Linked DNA regions of Ovis aries. The protein of the gene in region 2 binds, or shares a complex with, the protein of the main gene of each other region. Links are inferred from orthologs where the notes say so. Each region holds a gene or a part of one and is shown on either strand. Other genes may lie near its edges.

Region 1 (3,914 bases), on a different chromosome or scaffold from region 2:
CTCTATTGTGCTCCCTAGCGGCAGGAAAGCAAATTCAGAGTACATATTTCACATTTCTTTGCTAGTTAATTACACTGTATACACAAAACTTTCCTCAAGTGAGTCGTGTTCAGTGCTGTGTGGCATGTAAAACATGTAAAACAAACTAAAAGTAATAAAAATATCAGCCATTGTTAAATTCCTAAATATTAAATTACATGAATGACTATTTTAAATTATTGTTAACAGTTGGAAATTGGTCCTTCTTCTTAGGTATAGGGTAAAATAGAGTAGCCAATACCATAGTCACATGCTATAGGGAATAAATCAACTCCCTGTAGTAATCAAGACTTCTTTTCTAGATTGTTACTATCTGATATGTTTCAGAAGTGAGCAACTCTCAGACCCCTTAACCTCAAATATTCACATTTCTAACAGCACCGTCTTTTCAGCTCACGTCATATATCCTGAAATACTTAATGCAAGAAGAAAACTTCACTCCAAAAAACATTTTGAGCAATTTTCTACTGATAACCCCGAGAGGGAATGAGTGTCATTGTAACTCATGTGAAGATGCTATCTTAGAAACAGGACTGGTGGACAGTGGTTATTTAGAATTGGCTCCTTTCCAGAAGCACAGTCTCATTTTGGGGACTGTCATGGGGAAGAAATCTGATACAATGGTGAGAGACAGTGAGAAGGGGGTTACAGACGGAACAGAATGTGGCAGCAAGAATGAATGTCAAAGGAAATGCAGACAGAAAAAGAGGAAAGTATCAGAAAACAGCAGTCAGTGATACAGCAATACATGCCTGCTGGCACATAAATGATTTATAGATGGATTTTGTAAATATGAAATTCTTTTTCTAAAACATTCAACCATAAGTCAGCATATGTAATTCAATCATCCTTCCAGTTACTTGTATAGATTTTACGATTTGTTAGGAAATAATACTCTTAGAGCTACTAGTCTCCCTTAAAATTCGTTTTCTCTACTTTCTCTAAATTTTCTTGCTTAACCTAGTATTATAACTGATTCTCTGCTTATCTTCCACCTCCTTTCTTCTTCCAGAGCATTGGCAACAGTATATAGCAGAACTATATTATTCCTGAAACCACAAAACACTTGTTCAAAAGTGTGGATTATCAGAAAAGAATCCTAACTCTTTAATAACTTCCAAACCTAAAGAATCACTGACTTTAGGCATTCATCCTGGAGATTTTACTCACACTAGAAATAACAGATCTTATGCTTCACAAAATCAGAATGACAACTTCTTAGAGTCAGAGAATGAGAGGAAATGGGGGAAAGAATAGTACTGGAAGTTCTTTTCCAGTATGCTCTATATGGAATTGCTTTTGAATGACTCCTTTTGTGCGTCATTAATCTGGAGCAGTGGTGGCAATTAGGGAAGATGTCACTGTTCCTGGAGGTTCAGAAGTGGGGGGGAGGTGTGAGGGGACAAAGGAAAAGGGGAGGAGGAAGTGGGGTGGGCTGGAGATGAAGGGTACATCGTGAAGAGATAATCTCTGTGCTCGTGACATCATCTCCTGCATGTATATATACAGGGAATGGCCAAAGCATCGCTCATAGTTCAGTACTTCCAAAGTCAGCTGTGCTAGAGAGCCCCCTTCAGCCTGCCCCTGACGCTTATGAACTTGGCTTGCTAGAAGGCTCAAGATGATGGGAGGAATGAAAATCCAGCTGCTGTGTGTGATGCTCCTGGCTTTCAGCTCCTGGAGTCTGTGCTCAGGTAAGCTCAGCTATATTTCACAACTCCTTGAAATGATATCTTTTTCTGTTTTTGCAATGTGTTGTTACTATGTTAATATATCTGGGGAGAAGAGTTTCTCCCTTATTCTGATTTGCTTTTTAGTGATAGAAACTGTATGTTTTCTTTCTCTGTCTTTATGATTACAAGAATTGAGAATTTTCCTTTCCCTTTTAAAATTTGCTAGGTAGTGAAAGGGATTTCAATAAGACACTTCATGTTCCCATTTGCAATGTAATCACTAGGAAAAAAAATGTAAAACTTAAGCTGATCTAATGAAAAGTACAGAAGTGGTGCCTGTCAAAATGCAAACTCATAATTCAAACTGATTCTATATGAAATGTTTTATATCATCTTCATTCACTCTCTTAAGACATGGTGGCTTCTCCCTTTCAAAAATTATTTTCTTCATAGTGTGTGTATTAAGATAAAATGAATATTGATGTTTAATGAATCAACAGAATAAAGCATTATTTGTAGAAAATGATCTCTAGGAAAATACAAAAAAATGCCAAGCTTTTTTTAAGAATATATTTTAAATAACTTTTTTTCTGTGACAGGTAGACATATTACAAATTTCACTATTTTCTTGCATGTCATTTAAGTTAATACATAATGTAACTAGAATAATATTATTCTTATATTGATAAAATTATTTCCCTATAGTGTATTTTGCATGTATAATTAAGAAGAAGTCATACATTGCTAAATATCTATCAATAGCTTACCTTGAAAATAAATTTCAAATTTTAGAGAGTAATATGAAATATAATGGTTGCAATATGCTCCAATTAATGTTTGAAAAATAATTGAATGATCACATCAAGGTGAAAAAAAAAAACAAGGGATAAGTTTAGCAAAAATCATTTAACTTGTTTTATACTGTAATGTCATAAATATGACACTGAAATGTTTAATTCAAATTCCTGCTCTGATTTTCATTTAGTGTTCCATAACATTATTTCTATTACCTTATGTATTTTCCAAGATTTTCTTCTCTGTGAAATATTTATTAGTGGAAGCTGAAAGGGTGTTCTAAAAAATATCAGAAGTCCATTTTCAACACTCTTGTACATGTATTGGTGGACATCTTTACTTTTGCTTAAATGATTTTTTAATAGCCTGTGATAAAATTGCCAAGTATACATAATTCTAAATCCTTGCTAATATAGAGAAACAAATCTTTCCAAGTGTGTTTTGTAAAATAGCATCTCAAATAAAATAAATCTCAGTGTCTTTCTTATTCCAAAATTATCAATAAGTAACTTCCTTTGGTTTTGTCTTTAAAAATCATCTTGTACTTACCTTTTCATTATGTTGCTTTGAAAATATCAATATGTATATACTCTATATATATGTAAACTACTGCCAGTAAAAATTAACCAGCATATTTGATGACATCTGTGTAGTATAATCAGGTTTTATTATCCTGAGATTCAGAGATTTAACAACTCCAAATCATCAAGAGCTCTCTTGGCATAAAATCATGTGCCTATTTTCATAAAAGTGCTTCTATTGTTGTGTTCTGTTAGCCTAAAATAAAACTATAATTGTTTTTTTTGTAAATATTACTATAAAGAGAATAAATACATAGCAAAGACAATAAACTTCTAAGACAAAGTTTTTTGAGATTAATCTTAAGTATTCAAGTTATAATTATATGATATGTGGTTATATAGTAAACATGTGCTTTTGATTTTACTCAGATTCAGAAGAGGAAATGAAAGCGTTAGAAACAGATTTATTGACCAATATGCATACATCAAAGGTAACTTTTTCTTTCTTTCTAAACCAAAGCCTGAAAACATATGAACTCTTGTTATAAACATGGTGTCCTCTTCCTATAGTAATAACTTCCCATTGAGACTGAAAAGCTCATTGGGAAGCATTTCCTTTTGGTGGAAACTGTTCCTTAAGTTCAAAGGACTTAAGGGTATCGATGTGGCAGGGACAGAAGTTTAGTGATATCAATCACTACATTGCAAATTTAATTAAGTAGTCACATATTATTTGTGTGGAAATCCTCTCTCCATTTCAATCACATTATATATGATGAAAGATACACTGACTTCAAGTTAAAGACATAAATGAAAATTAAGTGACATTTTTGCCTTTTGTTTTGCTACTGGGGAGAGTGAAATGGAGTTCCTAAATTAAGAATGA
Region 2 (3,914 bases):
GGAGCATCTCCTGGGTGGGCATGACTGACCTGCTCCACCTTCATAGCCAGGTGTCGTGGCTGCTGTCTCCCAACTCCCCAGCCCCAGCACAGCCTGCAAGACCCCAGAGGAAGCCGGAAGGTAATTCCCACTCTTTCACCACACGCACCCTGGTTGCTCCTGCCTGCAGCGCCTGTGACTCATCTTCCTGCTACACGTGGCTGCTGGGGGCCCCTCCGCACAGGAACACCTGGAGCCAGGGCAGGCGAGGAGCCTGGAGCTTAATTCTGCCACTGGCTCCATCTCGGCAGTGGCCTGTGGAGGGTCAGTTGCAGCCCAGGATAGATGTGCAGATGGCATGTTCCCCACCCCCAAGCATGCCAGCTCCCGGAGCCCGGCACCTCTGTCACACTCAGAGGCAGCAGCATGGGTTCTACTGAGACGCTGTTGATGACTTGGGCGTGAAAGGACAACCAGACAGGACAGCCAGTCTCTCTGGCCACTCCCACCCCGACCTGGCTCAGCCCAGACCCTCCTCTCCCGTCCCACTCTGGGGTGGAGGGAGCCCCCGCCCTTTCATGGCTACCCACATCCTGAGGCCACCATGTCCTTCCAGGTGGTATCTCTTCCCTGACTTGCTCTGGTGGACACGCTGCTCCCAGGCCAGGGCCCTGCCTGAGAAGCCATCTCCCTGGGGCCGGAATCCCCCTGCCTGGCTGAGCCAATGCCCAGGGAGGTCTCCAACCTGGGTCCCCACATGCTTCACCCAGACCCTCTGAGGGCGTTGGTCACCCAACTCCAGGCCCTCCAATCTGCCACCAGGCCCAATACCTTAGGATTTTCCAGCAGAAACAACATCACCACCACCACCAGGGACAGCGCCTCTGACTGCTTCTACCTGCCAGGAGCCAGACAAGGGCTCCCATACCTTCTCTCTTGAATCCTGTACCTTCTGAGACCAGGGCTGTGATTGCCCCATTTCACAGATAGGAAAACTGAGGTTAAACTAAATAACCAGCCCAAGACAGCATCAGGCCAGGAGACACTGGGGGAGCAGTCTGGGATAGGAGTTCTGCTGTAGAAGAGAGGGACCACACCTGTGGGGAGCACAAAGCCTTTCGAGAAGCTGATGGGAGGGACTTCCTCTGGAAAGAGGACGCCAGCACACACATTTGCCTTACACCTCAGGGGCTCTGGGGATGGCTGAGGCCCATCCACGGAGCCTCGGCTTCAGGGAGGTTGGTAATCTGGGCTTCCAGCCCCTTTGATGGAAGGAGGGAATGAAATAAGTGGGGCTGAGGCCTGGCAGCCCTGGAGTAAAAGGTGGGAAGAAGCCGGGGGTCAGGCTGCTCTCAAGTTCCCTGCTCCTCCCCCATCCCCACTCCTTCCCAGCTTCATAGGAATAAAATTTCTTTGAGACACAAAATTTTCTCCAACTTCCTGAACCCAGAGGACACACAGACAGGAAACTACTTCTGGGATGAGGCACTGAGGCTTCCCTGAATGTCTGCCTTGGACCCTTGCTCCCAGGGGAGATCCCGGTCTGGTGCCCTCTGACTCCTGCCCCTGCCCCCTGGAAGAGGCTGCTCACCTGGATGACGACCTTGACTGTGGCAGTGCCCACGATGGGTGTGCATACCAGGCCGCCTGGGTGCTGGCCGTCAGCACTGCGGTTCTGCTGGCCCATGGTGAAGAGCATAGGCACAGCCAGGAGGCAGGAGGCCAGCCAGACGGCGCTGATGAACTTCTTGGTGCGGCTGCGGGACATGAGGGTCTTGGCCTTGAAGGGGTGGCAGATGGCCAGGTAGCGTTCCACGCTCAGGCTGGCCACGTTGAGGGCAGTGGCATAGGTGCAGGCATCGCGAAGGAAGTAGTAGCCGCGGCACACGGCGTCACCGAAGGCCCAGGGGTGGTGCACCCAGATAAAGTTGTACAGCTCCACAGGCATGGCCAGCAGCAGGATGAGCAGGTCGGACAGGGCGAGGCTGCCCAGGTGGTAGTGCACCGTGCTCTGCAGGTTCTGCAGCGACTTCTTGCGCGCCAGCGTGAAGGCAGTCACTGAGTTGCCCACCGTGCCCACCACGAAGAGCGCCAGGTACACAATGGTCACCAACACCTTGGAGTAAATGTCCGTGTTCACATCCAGGTCGCTGCTGGGGGCCGCTGGTACGGACTCCGACAGGTTGCCAGAGCCATTGCCCAAGCCGGCAGCCAGGAGCACCCCCTCCAGCACCGACGGCAGCTGCGTGAACGGGTGGTCGGTCCGGCCGACCCAGGGACCGGGCGCCGAGCTGTTGAGACGCATGTCGGGCGCTGCTGCGCTTTCCCGGTCCGCTGCTGGAAGCCGGGGGGAGAGGGGGTGCGTTTCAGGCAGGGACAGAATAGAGGGAGCCCGAGGGGTGGGCGTGAGAGGCCGAGGGGGCGCGCCGTCGAGCCGGGGAGCGCCAACCTGGTCCGTGCCAGCCTGGCGCGCTCGGCGCTCGCACTCACCGGGGGTTGCAGCTTCCCTCCGGGCTCCGCGCTTTCCCGGCTTTCTCCGAATTTTCGATCCCACGGTTCCTCGGGTCCCCGGGCGGCAGAACCGGTTCTCACGGAGAGCGCCCGGCCGGTTGGGGCTTGGGCTGCGCGAGGCAAGCCTGTGGAGCCGAGAGGAGCGCACGCCCGGCTGCCCGGCGCGCTCTCTTCTCGCTCGCGCTCTCCGCGCACCTCGCTCCGCGCACCTCCCGCAGCGCCAGCGCCCTCCCGAGCTCTGCGCCTCCACTGAGCCGGCGGCGACGGGCGCGCCCAGCCGTGGGGGGCGCTGGAGGGGAGAGAAGGCGGCCCCTGCCACTGTCCCCGCCCCGCAAGGGGGCAGGGCTGGCTGATCACCCCCGCGCACTCTCAGGGACCATCTGGACTGGAAGGAGCGCCCCAGGGAACTGGGATCCCAGCGGGGTGCGCCAGGAATATTGGCTCTTTCCAGGCACCCTTCTCAGGCAACTCGCCCCTCTTTCCGGGGTCTCCCCAGCTTCCTATGCCCCACTTCCCCAAGGGAACTGCCCCCGGGTCGCTTCCAGCCTGCCCAAGCAGTGGGCTTCCTGCTGAGGTGGGGGGACGCCCTTTCTTCCTGGGATGCCAGAAGCTGGGCTCCCAGGGGCTCTACTCTAGCACAAGTAACTGGGGGAGGGGGTGACTGAGGCGATCGGAAAGCAGAGGATAAGTACCGCCTGCCTCTGTGCAGGGTGGTCTCCTGCACCCAGCTCCCTGGAGTGGCCATGTGCTGTTGTGGGTGCAGGTGGTAGGGTCCAGGCCTGTCATCACCACCTGAACGTGGACCATCAGATTCCATCCTCAGGGTCCAGCCTGGCAGGATGTAGAGGGACCTGGCTGGGCTGGGAATCAGGAACAGATACCAGAGGGAGCTGAGGGAAAGGGAGCACTGAGGAAGGGGGGTGAGGCCGAGCAGCCCAGACTTCAGACCAGTGAGGGGAGAAGCTCAGGCTCAGTGCTTAGTCTCCGGTTCCCAGCTGGCCCTGAGCTTCTCCGCTCCACTGAACCCTGATGTTCCCACCACGGAGTCTTAGCACATAAGATACGTGCTTAAAAATGTAGCCTCGCAGGAAACACAAATGTCCCTTTGCTGGAGGCCACCACAGTGAGCTCAGAGGCAACAGGAGTGGTTTCAACCTGCTGCTTAATATCTGGGTGAGTGTTTTAGCTTCCCCATCCCTCTGTTTAGTCATCTGTGGAATGGGTACACAGTTCAAATTGATGCTCCTGGGTCCCCATTGTTCTGGATGCTGTTGGCACTGCAAACAGCAGGCGCTCAGTGGACACCTGTGGAGTGCATGCTTTTGTGCGGACTGTGTGAGGATTTCGGAGGGTGTGAAGCTGAAATACCTGAGAAAATAAAAGTTGCTTTAACTTCTCCAAGTTAGACCAGGTTTGCTCTCTGG

Evidence for each region.
Region 1: the proteins of NTSR1 (region 2) and NTS are in contact, whole or in part, in a crystal structure (PDB 4BUO), measured with the Rattus norvegicus proteins. The link is inferred for Ovis aries from reciprocal best matches to the Homo sapiens genes NTSR1 and NTS. Residues at the interface, in NP_001102437.1 of Rattus norvegicus: Ser53, Asp54, Leu55, Asp56, Asn58, Phe128, His132, His133, Tyr146, Met208, Val224, Cys225, Thr226, Pro227, Ile238, Arg327, Arg328, Phe331, Cys332, Tyr333, Ile334, Ser335, Asp336, Trp339, Phe344, Tyr347, His348, Tyr351; in NP_001095851.1 of Rattus norvegicus: Arg157, Arg158, Pro159, Tyr160, Ile161, Leu162.

What each region holds. Positions count from the first base shown.
Region 1 is NC_056056.1:122,104,880-122,108,793, forward strand, and holds the start of NTS (neurotensin/neuromedin N), read left to right. Parts: upstream 1-1,569; 5' UTR 1,570-1,660; coding exon 1,661-1,733; intron 1,734-3,457; coding exon 3,458-3,519; intron 3,520-3,914. UniProt on the Homo sapiens protein: Neurotensin may play an endocrine or paracrine role in the regulation of fat metabolism. It causes contraction of smooth muscle.
Region 2 is NC_056066.1:54,354,475-54,358,388, forward strand, and holds the start of NTSR1 (neurotensin receptor type 1), read right to left. Parts: upstream 2,731-3,914; 5' UTR 2,285-2,730; coding exon 1,571-2,284; intron 1-1,570. UniProt on the Homo sapiens protein: G-protein coupled receptor for the tridecapeptide neurotensin (NTS). Signaling is effected via G proteins that activate a phosphatidylinositol-calcium second messenger system.